3 linked regions of the Xenopus tropicalis genome follow. The protein of the gene in region 1 purifies or fractionates together with the protein of each later gene. This does not show direct contact. Links are inferred from orthologs where the notes say so. Each region holds a gene or a part of one and is shown in the gene's direction. Other genes may lie near its edges. The genes, in order: slx4, sumo1 and rtel1.

Region 1 (3,751 bases):
GGGCTACACAGCGGGGTATTTATACAAACTATAGTAGGGTTTCTGTAGCAAACACCCCAGCTGTACCAGTGCAGGAATGGCTGCCCCCAGGGCTACACAGCGGGGGTATTTATATAAACTATAGTAGGGTTTCTGTAGCAAACACCCCAGCTGTACCAGTGCAGGAATGGCTGCCCCCGGGGCTACACAGCGGGGTATTTATACAAACTATAGTAGGGTTTCTGTAGCAAACACCCCAGCTGTACCAGTGCAGGAATGGCTGCCCTCAGGGCTACACAGCGGGGTATTTATATAAACTATAGTAGGGTTTCTGTAGCAAACACCCCAGCTGTACCAGTGCAGGAATGGCTGCCCCCGGGGCTACACAGCGGGGTATTTATACAAACTATAGTAGGGTTTCTGTAGCAAACACCCCAGCTGTACCAGTGCAGGAATGGCTGCCCCCGGGGCTACACAGCGGGGTATTTATATAAACTATAGTAGGGTTTCTGTAGCAAACACCCCAGCTGTACCAGTGCAGGAATGGCTGCCCCCGGGGCTACACAGCGGGGTATTTATACAAACTATAGTAGGGTTTCTGTAGCAAACACCCCAGCTGTACCAGTGCAGGAATGGCTGCCCCTGGGGCTACACAGCGGGATATTTATATAAACTATAGTAGGGTTTCTGTAGCAAACACCCCAGCTGTACCAGTGCAGGAATGGCTGCCCCTGGGGCTACACAGCGGGGTATTTATATAAACTATAGTAGGGTTTCTGTAGCAAACACCCCAGCTGTACCAGTGCAGGAATGGCTGCCCCCGGGGCTACACAGCGGGGTATTTATATAAACTATAGTAGGGTTTCTGTAGCAAACACCCCAGCTGTACCAGTGCAGGAATGGCTGCCCCCGGGGCTACACAGCGGGGTATTTATACAAACTATAGTAGGGTTTCTGTAGCAAACACCCCAGCTGTACCAGTGCAGGAATGGCTGCCCCTGGGGCTACACAGCGGGGTATTTATATAAACTATAGTAGGGTTTCTGTACCAAAAACACACCAGCTGTAGGAGTGTGTTGGAGTTAAGGGGGGGTTAGGCCGCCCTTAGGAATGAGTAGGGAGGGCGCAGGGACATTAACCTATTGGCACAGTGACAGCCCACACTGGTTGTAACAATAATGGTAACCCTGTGTATGTGCTAAAGGGGGGACTCCGCACAAAGTCTTTTGAGTTTTTTTTGCATATGAAAGGAAACGTGATTCTAGGCAACTTTTCAATAAACATTTATATTTATTTTTTATTTCATGCCACTGCTTCAGCTGAGCTACAAACAGCTGCCTAAAACCTAAACTTTACACATTACTATAGACGCGCTTTATTTACAATCCCCAACACTTCCGGCGTGGCGCCTCATGCGTCAGCCGAGTTCCGGTAGTTCCTTCTGTTACTGTGGAGACGTCGTGCCACGGTCACAGCTGGGCGGAAGCGTGTTGACGTCATGACGCGCCAATTCCGGGGCGGCTTGTGTGAAGCTGTGTTACTGAGGTGAGTGAGCCCTATGGCTGCAGTGAATGAATGATGGAATCCTGCTTAGGGTGCGGGCTGGCAGCTCCGCTGTAGGAATGGGGCCCAGTAACCTGCAGCGGCACATTCAGTAGCCAGCTAGGTGGCCCTGTAGGGCTTTTGACATGAGAATGATTGACATGTGTTATATGGTTGGGTAATCACGTTAGTTCGTACACAAGGATTATTTTCACTGTAACTAGACAGAGAGACTGGGGCTCATTCACTATGTACGGTCAGCATTGCCTCAGTGCAGTAACTAAGCAACAGCTGATCAATATGGTACAGGTAGCATGGGGGTTACTTTACTGCACTGCTGGGAATTCTGCTCAGAGTTAGTGACTGAACAGAAATGCTGATAAGTGTTATATATTATGTTAGAATATGTGTAGTTAGGAGCTAAAGGGCAAGGGCCCTCTGTGTTATGACCCCTATCCCTTATTTTTCTGAATCCCTTCATTCCATTTGTCACCGTGCCATCTTTATGGGATAGTGAATTGGCCCCTTCTAGTCATTAAAGGGGAACTCCACCCAAACACAACTTTGCGAATAGTAAACATCATTTTAGGCAACTTTGCAATATACATCAATTAGAAAATATGGTTTTAAACAGTTACCTAAGCCGGGCCCCTTGTTCTGCTCAGCTGGCTGATTACATTGAGACTGTCCTGAGCCTGCATCCTCCAAATTGCACACATTATATTAAAGGAGACATATCCTATAAACATTAAGAATGTACCAGTGAATTATACTCCTCTAGATATAGAAGGATTGTGCTTAAAAATGTTGTGTTTCAGACTGATTTATTGAGAAATTCCACAAAAACCCCACTAGCCCCGCCCATCTGTTCCACTTCCTGCTGGCTGAATTCTCTGGATGAGCTGGGGAACCGGCGGCCCTCCGTACACTGCACTGCAGGATAGGAACCAATCAGCAGCTAGGCTGACCTGATAGGGAACTGAAGTCTGTCTGTGCTTGTGGGAGTGCAGGGCTGTGATTGGCTCTCCCCCTCCTACTGTGCTTCTGGCAGGGACCGTTAGGACATGCCCACTCTTCATTTCACACTGGACAGAGAAGCCAGAGGATCTATAGGGAGCTCCAATAAAGGGGCCATTGTTACAGAGAGGATTAATGTTTAGCCCAAAGGGAAACCAGCACCGTATATTATTCATAATTGCCTACAAAATTAGGGTTTTTCTCATTTATCCTATATGTCTCCTTTAATAAGGGAAGAAACATCAGAGTGCAATGCATTGTGGGTTATGTAGTTCCTGCTTGCTGTCTGTAAACTGTAGGGATGCTGTTCCAATTTGTAACGTTGATGTTTTAGTCCCTCCTCCCCTGCCAGGATTTCAGTCATGCAGAAAGAAAATAAACTGTTGTGCATCTGGATTTCAGCATATAAAATGGTATTTATTCATACCTTTTAAAGGAACAGATTACAATGATAGGTATATTAGGTGTGTTGTGTGGGGCTCTTCAAAAAAATGTTGGTTCAGAAGCCGCAGTTCCCCTTTAAAGGTTACAGTTATTTGTGCCAGTGGAGCCCTTTTAGGACCCAGGCCATTCTTCAAACATTTTCCATATAATGGGCCAAATATCTCTTATATCTATCTAATATAGCCTTATTATACTAAAAGATTTTTGTTGTTATTGGACAGTGTTGGAGGGCCACAGCGGGCCTGCTTTCCCATCTAACAATGCTGCCCGGGGTCTTGTGGGTTGGCTCCCAGCCTCCTCCAGGGCCCAACGGAACGTTAAACATACGATCCCCATGCTTTAGCCCTAATGAGTAGAAGTATTGCAGCCTCAACTGACCTCAGCATTTTATAGGCCTGTATGGTATATGGTAAACCATAATTGTTTATACTAAAATAGCACCAATACAACTGTGCATGTTGGAGCAGTCGCTTCTAAATTATTGGCTAGTGTTGGTGTGGGTTTTGTCAGCTACATATACTGATTGGAATGACCTATATGTCTGTAAAGCGCTGTGGAACTGTGTTGGCACTATATATAAATATAGGGAATGAATAAATATAACTGAATGCTGCTCTTATTTGTAGAATTTGTAATTCTCCTAATGCTGCCATCTAGTGCCAGAACTTTGCAAATAGTTGTTTAATTGTGACATTATTCCTATTGTGTACCATACTGTACAACTGACCTTCCAATGATGGCTCAGCCTGCAGGCCTTATACAACATTCT
Region 2 (3,751 bases), about 32 Mb from region 1:
TGGCGTGGAGATATTGGATCTCTTTGATGGTATTTTAGCTAAAGGCTGATAAAGAGTCAACATTATATTAGGCAACTTGATATATGGGGTAAGATGACCAGGATTTCACTTCTGGATTGGACTTTCAATTTTTATAATTATTATAACAAGGAGTTAGCGCTAAAAAAATATACCACCAAGTGTAAAAATTCTATAATATTTTAATCAATCATTAAATCAATACAAAAAGATACAAGTCATAAGTTAAAAGATACAATAGGATATAGTGATAATCAAAAACAGTTCGTTAAAACTAAAATGTTGGCCCTATTAGTTCATTAAAAAAGTGAACTAGGATAAATGAGGATGGTACAATAAATACGTGCATAAATAGTCATTTAAAAAGCTAAACGTATTTATTGTACCATCCTCATTTATCCTAGTTCACTTTTTTAATGAACTAATAGGGCCAACAATTTAGTTTTAACGAACTGTTTTTGATTATCACTATATCCTATTGTATCTTTTAACTTATGACTTGTATCTTTTTGTATTGATTTAATGATTAATTAAAATATTATAGAATTTTTACACTTGGTGGTATATTTTTTTAGCGCTAACTCCTTGTTATAATATTTATATATTCACTGTGAGGATTAGTTTGGAGGAAGGAGGCTATTTATGATATTCTATTCACTATTTGGGTAAGAGGATTGTTGTTGGGTAATTTAATTTGTTTTTTAGAATAATATTAGTCTTTCACGAACTACACATAAATTTATTAGAAGCGCGGGTAAGGTTTATTCACACAATTTTGATAATTATGTCTATTCTCCACCCACCCTATGCCTCGGTATCTGTTATTTAGTCTCTTCCCAATGTGTCCTCTAATATAGAGGCATCAGGGGCTCTCAAGGGATCAGATTGACAAGATAAGATAACCAATTTTTTTTTCATATAAGCAATTGTCTGTAATTTGGCTCATTCATTTAACCAGTTTATATAAACATTTGTGGTCAATTTCAATCATGCGACGCAACCAAAAAGGTTAAGAATCACCTACTAAAACGTCAAAAGCCACGTAAAGCCAGGTAAAGCCAATCTACTATGTAACGGGGCCTTTTAATGATGTGAGGCTGGCAGTGCCAAAGCCATTAGACGCCTACTATTAATGCTCGGCTTTGGAGAGGTTAATGCTCTATACAGAAAAAACACTGGATATCAATGGTTAAAGGCTGACGTTCGCATTACAATATGGACACAAAAGCGCCACCTAGTGCTCAGCGTCTGTGCAAGCGCATACCCCTACCATTTGCCGCAAGCCGCAGCAGTGCGCGTCAGCAAAATGTGGGCGGTGCCGCATGTATCGGAAATGAGGTCATTCCCAAGAACCGGAACACCTTCCTTGTCTGGTTCTCTTGTGCTGTTATTGTGCCCGGAGGAAGGAAAAGCGTAGAGCGGTCCAGTGTAGCGAACCGATACCGGCCGAGAGCAGTTAGCATGTCTGATCAGGTGAGACACTTTTGTGGAGTGGGCGGGAGAACGAGAGAAAGTCTCTGGGACGTGTGTGTCTTGTTTTGTGTGTCTGGAGACCTGCTTGTAGATGTAAACAAGTAGGTCTCATGGCTACACATTAATATGCAGCTAAAGTAGTACATGCGGCCCATAACCAAGGGCGGCAGCTAAGTCATTTACTTTCATTTTATACGACACTTAGACTATTAGAGCTGGTTGCTATGGGTTTCTGCTGCTGTGCACTTTTGCTGGATAAACTGCTCTATAGGACCCACACCCCGTTGTGTGTCGTGTAATTTGCTTTATGTCTTATTGTCCAGTATGTGTATCTTCTCCTGTAGATGTTATTATCTGTGAGTAATTGCCCAGTGGTGGTTGGCGAAGTGAGAGGCCTAACAGGAAAGCCAGAGATATATTGGCCCATATAGTTATTTGACCTATATAAAGTATATATTAACCTAACAAGTTTCAGCAGCTTTAGCCTTATGGGGTCTCACACAGCATTGATTTGTTACAGTAGGGTAAATCTGTTAGCCTGGAAGAGCTCAAAGCATTTCAGAACTATCAGGTACATAAATTAAGTCTATTTATGAGCATCCACTAAGTGTTTGTAGATACATTATTATGTTTGGTTGAAAATATAACAATCGCGTTTAACCCTTCCAAACAAACACCGCTGCACACGTATACACATGTTAATTTAATTGTAGTGGTAATTCCCATTACCCAGGGGAGGTATCATGTTAAGCTGTGTGTAGGTATGTGGGAGTTAACGATTGATCTCTTGTAGTACACTCTGCTTGTTTATATTGTATGTAATGTTCAAGCACATCTTGTTTTCTTGCATGACTTTCATAGTTTAGGATCCCAATCTTATCTTTAATGCAGCCACCTAAAGGGTGACGGTTTAAACATTCAAGTGGACTACAGGCCAAAATGATTAGATCCCTGTGATGTTGGGCAGTACCAGCTAGTCCTGTCACTTCAAACTTTGCTGATGCCGCATTCATGTGGGCATGGGGACCACTGGGAGCCCCAAATTTCTGTCTGGCCCAATTAAGTGCACTTTCAATGGTGCGACGGATTAAATACCAGTGATGCACGCAGATGTTTCTGTTGAAAGCTGTTTTTCCCATTATTGGTATTTATTGCCTTACATTTAGGGCAACATTGCGTACATGCATTTGTGTCAAATGTATATCACTCTGTTATTTTGTATCTCAGTCTGTGGGTATGTGTGAACAAGTATTCCCATTTCATCATACACCTCTAAAATAGTGTCTGAAAAGTTGCTTTTTGTACAGCTTTACTGAAAAAAAATTTAAATACTTTGCTAGCACCATTGAGCAATTCCATTCACTGCTGGGTGCTTTTCCAAGATGTGCAGAAGAGTTAGTAGGGCTCCTAAATTATCTCTGCAAGTGTAATTTCAGTCTCTAACTTCCGCGCAGTTAGTTGTGTGTAAAACCACTTTCATTTGAGGTACGTAAGTGAAAATGCGCTTCTTAAAGGACAAGGAAAGTCGAAATCTATTAAGCACACTATTAAATAGTACTACTATTGCTGTGTAAAAACGCTATATTTCTGGCTTGCCCAATGAAATATTTACAGAGATACACATACTAGAACTTACATACTTGTTTCAGTGAACGGCGCCGCCATCTTGTCCAGCATGTCTGTATGGGCTATTGCTGAAAAGCACAAGCCAGCCCCCCTCCGATCCCCTCACCTGCCACAAACCCTCCACCGCTCCCCGCTTCTGCCACAACCCCCCCCCGCTTCTGCCACAACCCCCCCCCCGCTTCTGCCACAACCCCCCCCCGCTCCTGCCACAACCCCCCCCGCTCCTGCCACAACCCCCCCCTGCTCCTGCCACAACCCCCCCCTGCTCCTGCCACAACCCCCCCCTGCTCCTGCCACAACCCCCCCCCGCTCCTGCCACAACCCCCCCCCCCCTGCTCCTGTCACAAACCCTCCGCCGCTTCCCACTCCTGCCACAAACCCCCCGCCGCTCCTCCCACCTGCCGGCTCTGCATGTCACAAATGCAGATGCATCACTGCATATCAACTCCCCCGGCTCCCCGCTCCTGCCACAAACCCTCTGCCGCTCCCCCCACCTGCCAGGTCTGAATGTCACAGAGCAGAGTTCTCCTGTCGGCTGCGTCGCCATGGCAACCAGACGCTCCTGCTGTGTGCGCATGCGCTGCCTACAGTCCCAAGTTGCCAAGTCTGGGCAGGAGCGTTGCATTATGGGAAT
Region 3 (3,751 bases), on another chromosome or scaffold:
TACTGTGAATATGAAGGGTACCCTGTATCCCGCCTTACTGTGAATATGAAGGGTACCCTGTATCCCCCTTACTGTGAATAAGAAGGGTATCCTGTATCCCCCTTTACTGTGAATAAGAAGGGTACCCTGTAATCCCCCTTACTGTGAATATGAAGGGTACCCTGTATCCCCCCTTACTGTGAATATGAAGGGTACCCTGTATCCCCCCTTACTGTGAATAAGAAGGGTATCCTGTATCCCCCCTTACTGTGAATATGAAGGGTATCCTGTATCCCCTTACATGTGAATATGAAGGGTACCCTGTATCCCCCTTACTGTGAATAAGAAGGGTACCCTGTAATCCCGCCCTTACTGTGAATATGAAGGGTACCCTGTATCCCCCCTTACTGTGAATAAGAAGGGTACCCTGTATCCCCCCTTACTGTGAATAAGAAGGGTATCCTGTATCCCCCCTTACTGTGAATAAGAAGGGTATCCTGTATCCCCCCTTACTGTGAATAAGAAGGGTACCCTGTATCCCCCCTTACTGTGAATAAGAAGGGTATCCTGTATCAGTTCTAAAATAGCCCCCAGCTAGCCAACAGCCACACAGAAAGTAGCCCAGTAGCCCAATATGTGAGTGATGTTTCCCCCTGTGCTCAGTCCCTGCAGGTTATTGTAGTTTTGCTGCTTCAGGTTCAGCAAAGAGGAATAGAAAAGGGAGCTTCCGTGTATAATTGCATGCTGGGTATTGTAGTTTTATTTTAATCTTGGCTGTAGGCTAAACGTAAGCTACAAACTACATTACCCAGAATGCACATGCACGTCAGAGAAATAAAACTCTGATTAGTTTCCAAACTACAAACCCGCCAAGGCTTCAAACCCTAACCCCAACTGTACCTCAGCGGCTTCTACCGTGGGACCCGCCTGGGCTTTATATTAGGGGCCCAATCTGGCGGGAAACCGGCCAACCGGCCGCCCTGGGACAGTCCCTATCTGTCTGAGCCAACCGGAGAGGGAGTCTGTCCGGCTGCAGCCACGTCACACGCACAGGGAGGACGTATATGACGTCAGGCCGTAAGGGCGCGAAGCACAAACTTTGACTGGAGGCCGGAAGTGAGGCGGTACCGGGCGGCGAGGGGTTACCGGGCAGCGAGGGGTTACCGGGCAGCGAGGGGTTACCGGGCAGCGAGGGTTACCGGGCAGCGAGGGGTTACCGGGCAGCGAGGGGGTACCGGGAAGCGAGGCGGTACCGGGCAGCGAGGCGTACCGGGCAGCGAGGGGTTACCGGGCAGCGAGGGGTTACCGGGCAGCGAGGCGGTACCGGGAAGCGAGGCGGTACCGGGAAGCGAGGCGGTACCGGGCAGCGAGGGGTTACCGGGAAGCGAGGGGGTACCGGGAAGTGAGGCGGTACCGGGAAGTGAGGCGGTACCGGGCGGCGAGGGGAAAGGTTGGAGATGCCTCAGGTGCCGGTGGCCGGTCTGACTGTGGATTTCCCGTTCCAGCCGTATAAATGCCAGGAGGATTATATGGGCAAAGTCATCCAGTGCCTCCAGCAGGTCCGCTATGGGGCCGAGGGGTGCGGGGGTAATGGGGCCTGGGGGTGGCGGGGTAATGGGCCTGAGGGTGCGGGGGTAATGGGGCCTGAGGGTGCGGGGTAATGGGCCGGGTAATGGGGCCTGAGGGTGCGGGGGTAATGGGCCTGAGGGTGCGGGGGTAATGGGGCCTGGGGGTGCGGGGGTAATGGGGCCTGAGGGTGCGGGGGTAATGGGGCCTGGGGGTGCGGGGGTAATGGGGCCTGAGGGTGGCGGGGTAAGGGGCTGGGGTGCGGGGGTAATGGGCCGGGGGGTGCGGGGGTAATGGGGCCTGAGGGTGCGGGGGTAATGGGCCTGGGGTGCGGGGGTAATGGGCCTGGGGGTGCGGGGGTAATGGGGCCTGAGGGTGCGGGGGTAATGGGCCTGAGGGTGCGGGGTAATGGGGCCTGGGGGTGCGGGGGTAATGGGGCCGGGGGGTGCGGGGGTAATGGGGCCTGAGGGTGCGGGGGTAATGGGCCTGGGGGTGCGGGGTAATGGGGCCGGGGGTGGCGGGGGTAATGGGGCCTGAGGGTGCGGGGTAATGGGGCCTGGGGTGCGGGGGTAATGGGGCCTGAGGGTGCGGGGGTAATGGGGCCTGAGGGTGCGGGGGTAATGGGGGCTGAGGGTGCGGGGTAATGGGGCCTGAGGTGGGGGGTAATGGGGCCTGAGGGTGCGGGGTAATGGGGCTGGGGGTGCGGGGGTAATGGGGCCGGGGGATGCGGGTGGGTAATGGGCCTGAGGGTGCGGGGGTAAATGGGCCTGGGGGTGCGGGGTAATGGGGCCGGGGGGGTGCGGGGGTAATGGGGCCTGAGGGTGCGGGGGTAATGGGGCCGAGGGGTGCGGGGGTAATGGGGCCGAGGGGTGCGGGGGTAATGGGGCCGAGGGGTGCGGGGGTAATGGGGCCGAGGGGTGCGGGGGCTAATGGGGCCGAGGGGTGCGGGGGCTAATGGGGCCAAGGGGTATGGGGCTGTGGGGCTAATGACAATTCAGTGAGGGCAGGGAGTGGGGCAACAAGGAACAGGATAGGGGTATCAGGGGATGCAGTATTCTGAATAGGGTACCCGGGTAGTGAGTTATAGAACATTAAACTCACAGAGAAACTTCCCAAAGATCCCTGATAGGGAAAGTACAGGGCAGGGGCCCCATAATGTTATGCAATAGGGATCTGTGCCCAGGGCTGCCAGTTGGGTTTCACACATACCCCCCACCACATACCCCCCACCACATACCCCCCACCACATACCCCCACACAGTGCAGTGCCCATAGAGCAGGCGTATATGGAATCAATAGCCCCAAATAGTTCAAAAGAGTGTAGGACCCTCCCCTGCCCATTTGCCCTGTGGGGCCCCAGCGGGTATAAGTGGCTCAGCCATCAGTCACTTTGGTCATTTTTCTATCATTTCTGAATGTACCGGAACATTATTACTCTAGTGCCAGCCTGGCGTTACAGCCCTCCTTTCCCTTTGCCCCCAGGGTGTGAATGGTGTATTAGAGAGCCCCACGGGCACTGGGAAGACTCTGTGCCTCCTTTGTGCCACTCTGGCTTGGCGGCAGCACTACAAGGATGGGATCAGTGCCCGTAAGATCGCAGAACGCATGAATGGCGCGGAACTCTTCCCGGAGCGACCGGCGGCAGCGTGGGGCGGTGCATCAGCGGAGGGGCAGGCCTCAGGTACTGGCACGCAGGGTGCTTCTCCCTGGGAGTGGATGCAGTGGGTGCTGCTGGTGTGGCTCATTCGCCCCCTTAGGGCCACAGTTTAGCCCAAGCCCAGAGCTTCATCTAGTCCCTGGGGCGGATTTGCCTCACTCAGGGGGGTCTCTAGATAATAATGACAGGTACCAGCATGTTGGGGGTTAAAGGAGTTGGTCACCTTTGAGTTAACTCTTAGTATGATGTAGAGAGTGATATTCTGAGACAATTTGCAGTTGGTCTTTATTTTTTATTTTTTTTAGTTATTTTGCTTTTTGCTGCAGCAGCTGTGCAGTTTGGGGTTTGAGCAGCTCTGTGGTTGCTAGGATTCAGATTACCCTAGCAACCAGGGAGCTGTTTGAATGAGACGATGGTAAATGAATAGGAGAGGGACTTAACAGAAAGACAATTATAAAATGTAGTTTTTGGCTACTGGGGTTAGTGAATCCCCCCCCCCCCCATTTGAAAGCCGCAAAGAGCTAGAATAAAAAGGCAAATAGATCAAAA

Evidence for each region.
Region 2: the proteins of slx4 (region 1) and sumo1 purify together in Homo sapiens (affinity purification with mass spectrometry; 3 studies listed by BioGRID, with this or other methods). This does not show direct contact. The link is inferred for Xenopus tropicalis from reciprocal best matches to the Homo sapiens genes SLX4 and SUMO1.
Region 3: the proteins of slx4 (region 1) and rtel1 purify together in Homo sapiens (affinity purification with mass spectrometry; 3 studies listed by BioGRID, with this or other methods). This does not show direct contact. The link is inferred for Xenopus tropicalis from reciprocal best matches to the Homo sapiens genes SLX4 and RTEL1.

The regions. Positions count from the first base shown.
Region 1 is NC_030685.2:20,675,963-20,679,713, forward strand, and holds the start of slx4 (structure-specific endonuclease subunit SLX4), read left to right. Parts: upstream 1-1,417; 5' UTR 1,418-1,524; intron 1,525-3,751. UniProt on the Homo sapiens protein: Regulatory subunit that interacts with and increases the activity of different structure-specific endonucleases.
Region 2 is NC_030685.2:52,313,720-52,317,470, reverse strand, and holds the start of sumo1 (small ubiquitin-related modifier 1 precursor), read left to right. Parts: upstream 1-1,375; 5' UTR 1,376-1,479; coding exon 1,480-1,491; intron 1,492-3,751. UniProt on the Homo sapiens protein: Ubiquitin-like protein that can be covalently attached to proteins as a monomer or a lysine-linked polymer.
Region 3 is NC_030686.2:1,008,288-1,012,038, forward strand, and holds the start of rtel1 (regulator of telomere elongation helicase 1), read left to right. Parts: upstream 1-1,016; 5' UTR 1,017-1,436; coding exon 1,437-1,538; intron 1,539-3,027; coding exon 3,028-3,226; intron 3,227-3,751. UniProt on the Homo sapiens protein: A probable ATP-dependent DNA helicase implicated in telomere-length regulation, DNA repair and the maintenance of genomic stability. Acts as an anti-recombinase to counteract toxic recombination and limit crossover during meiosis.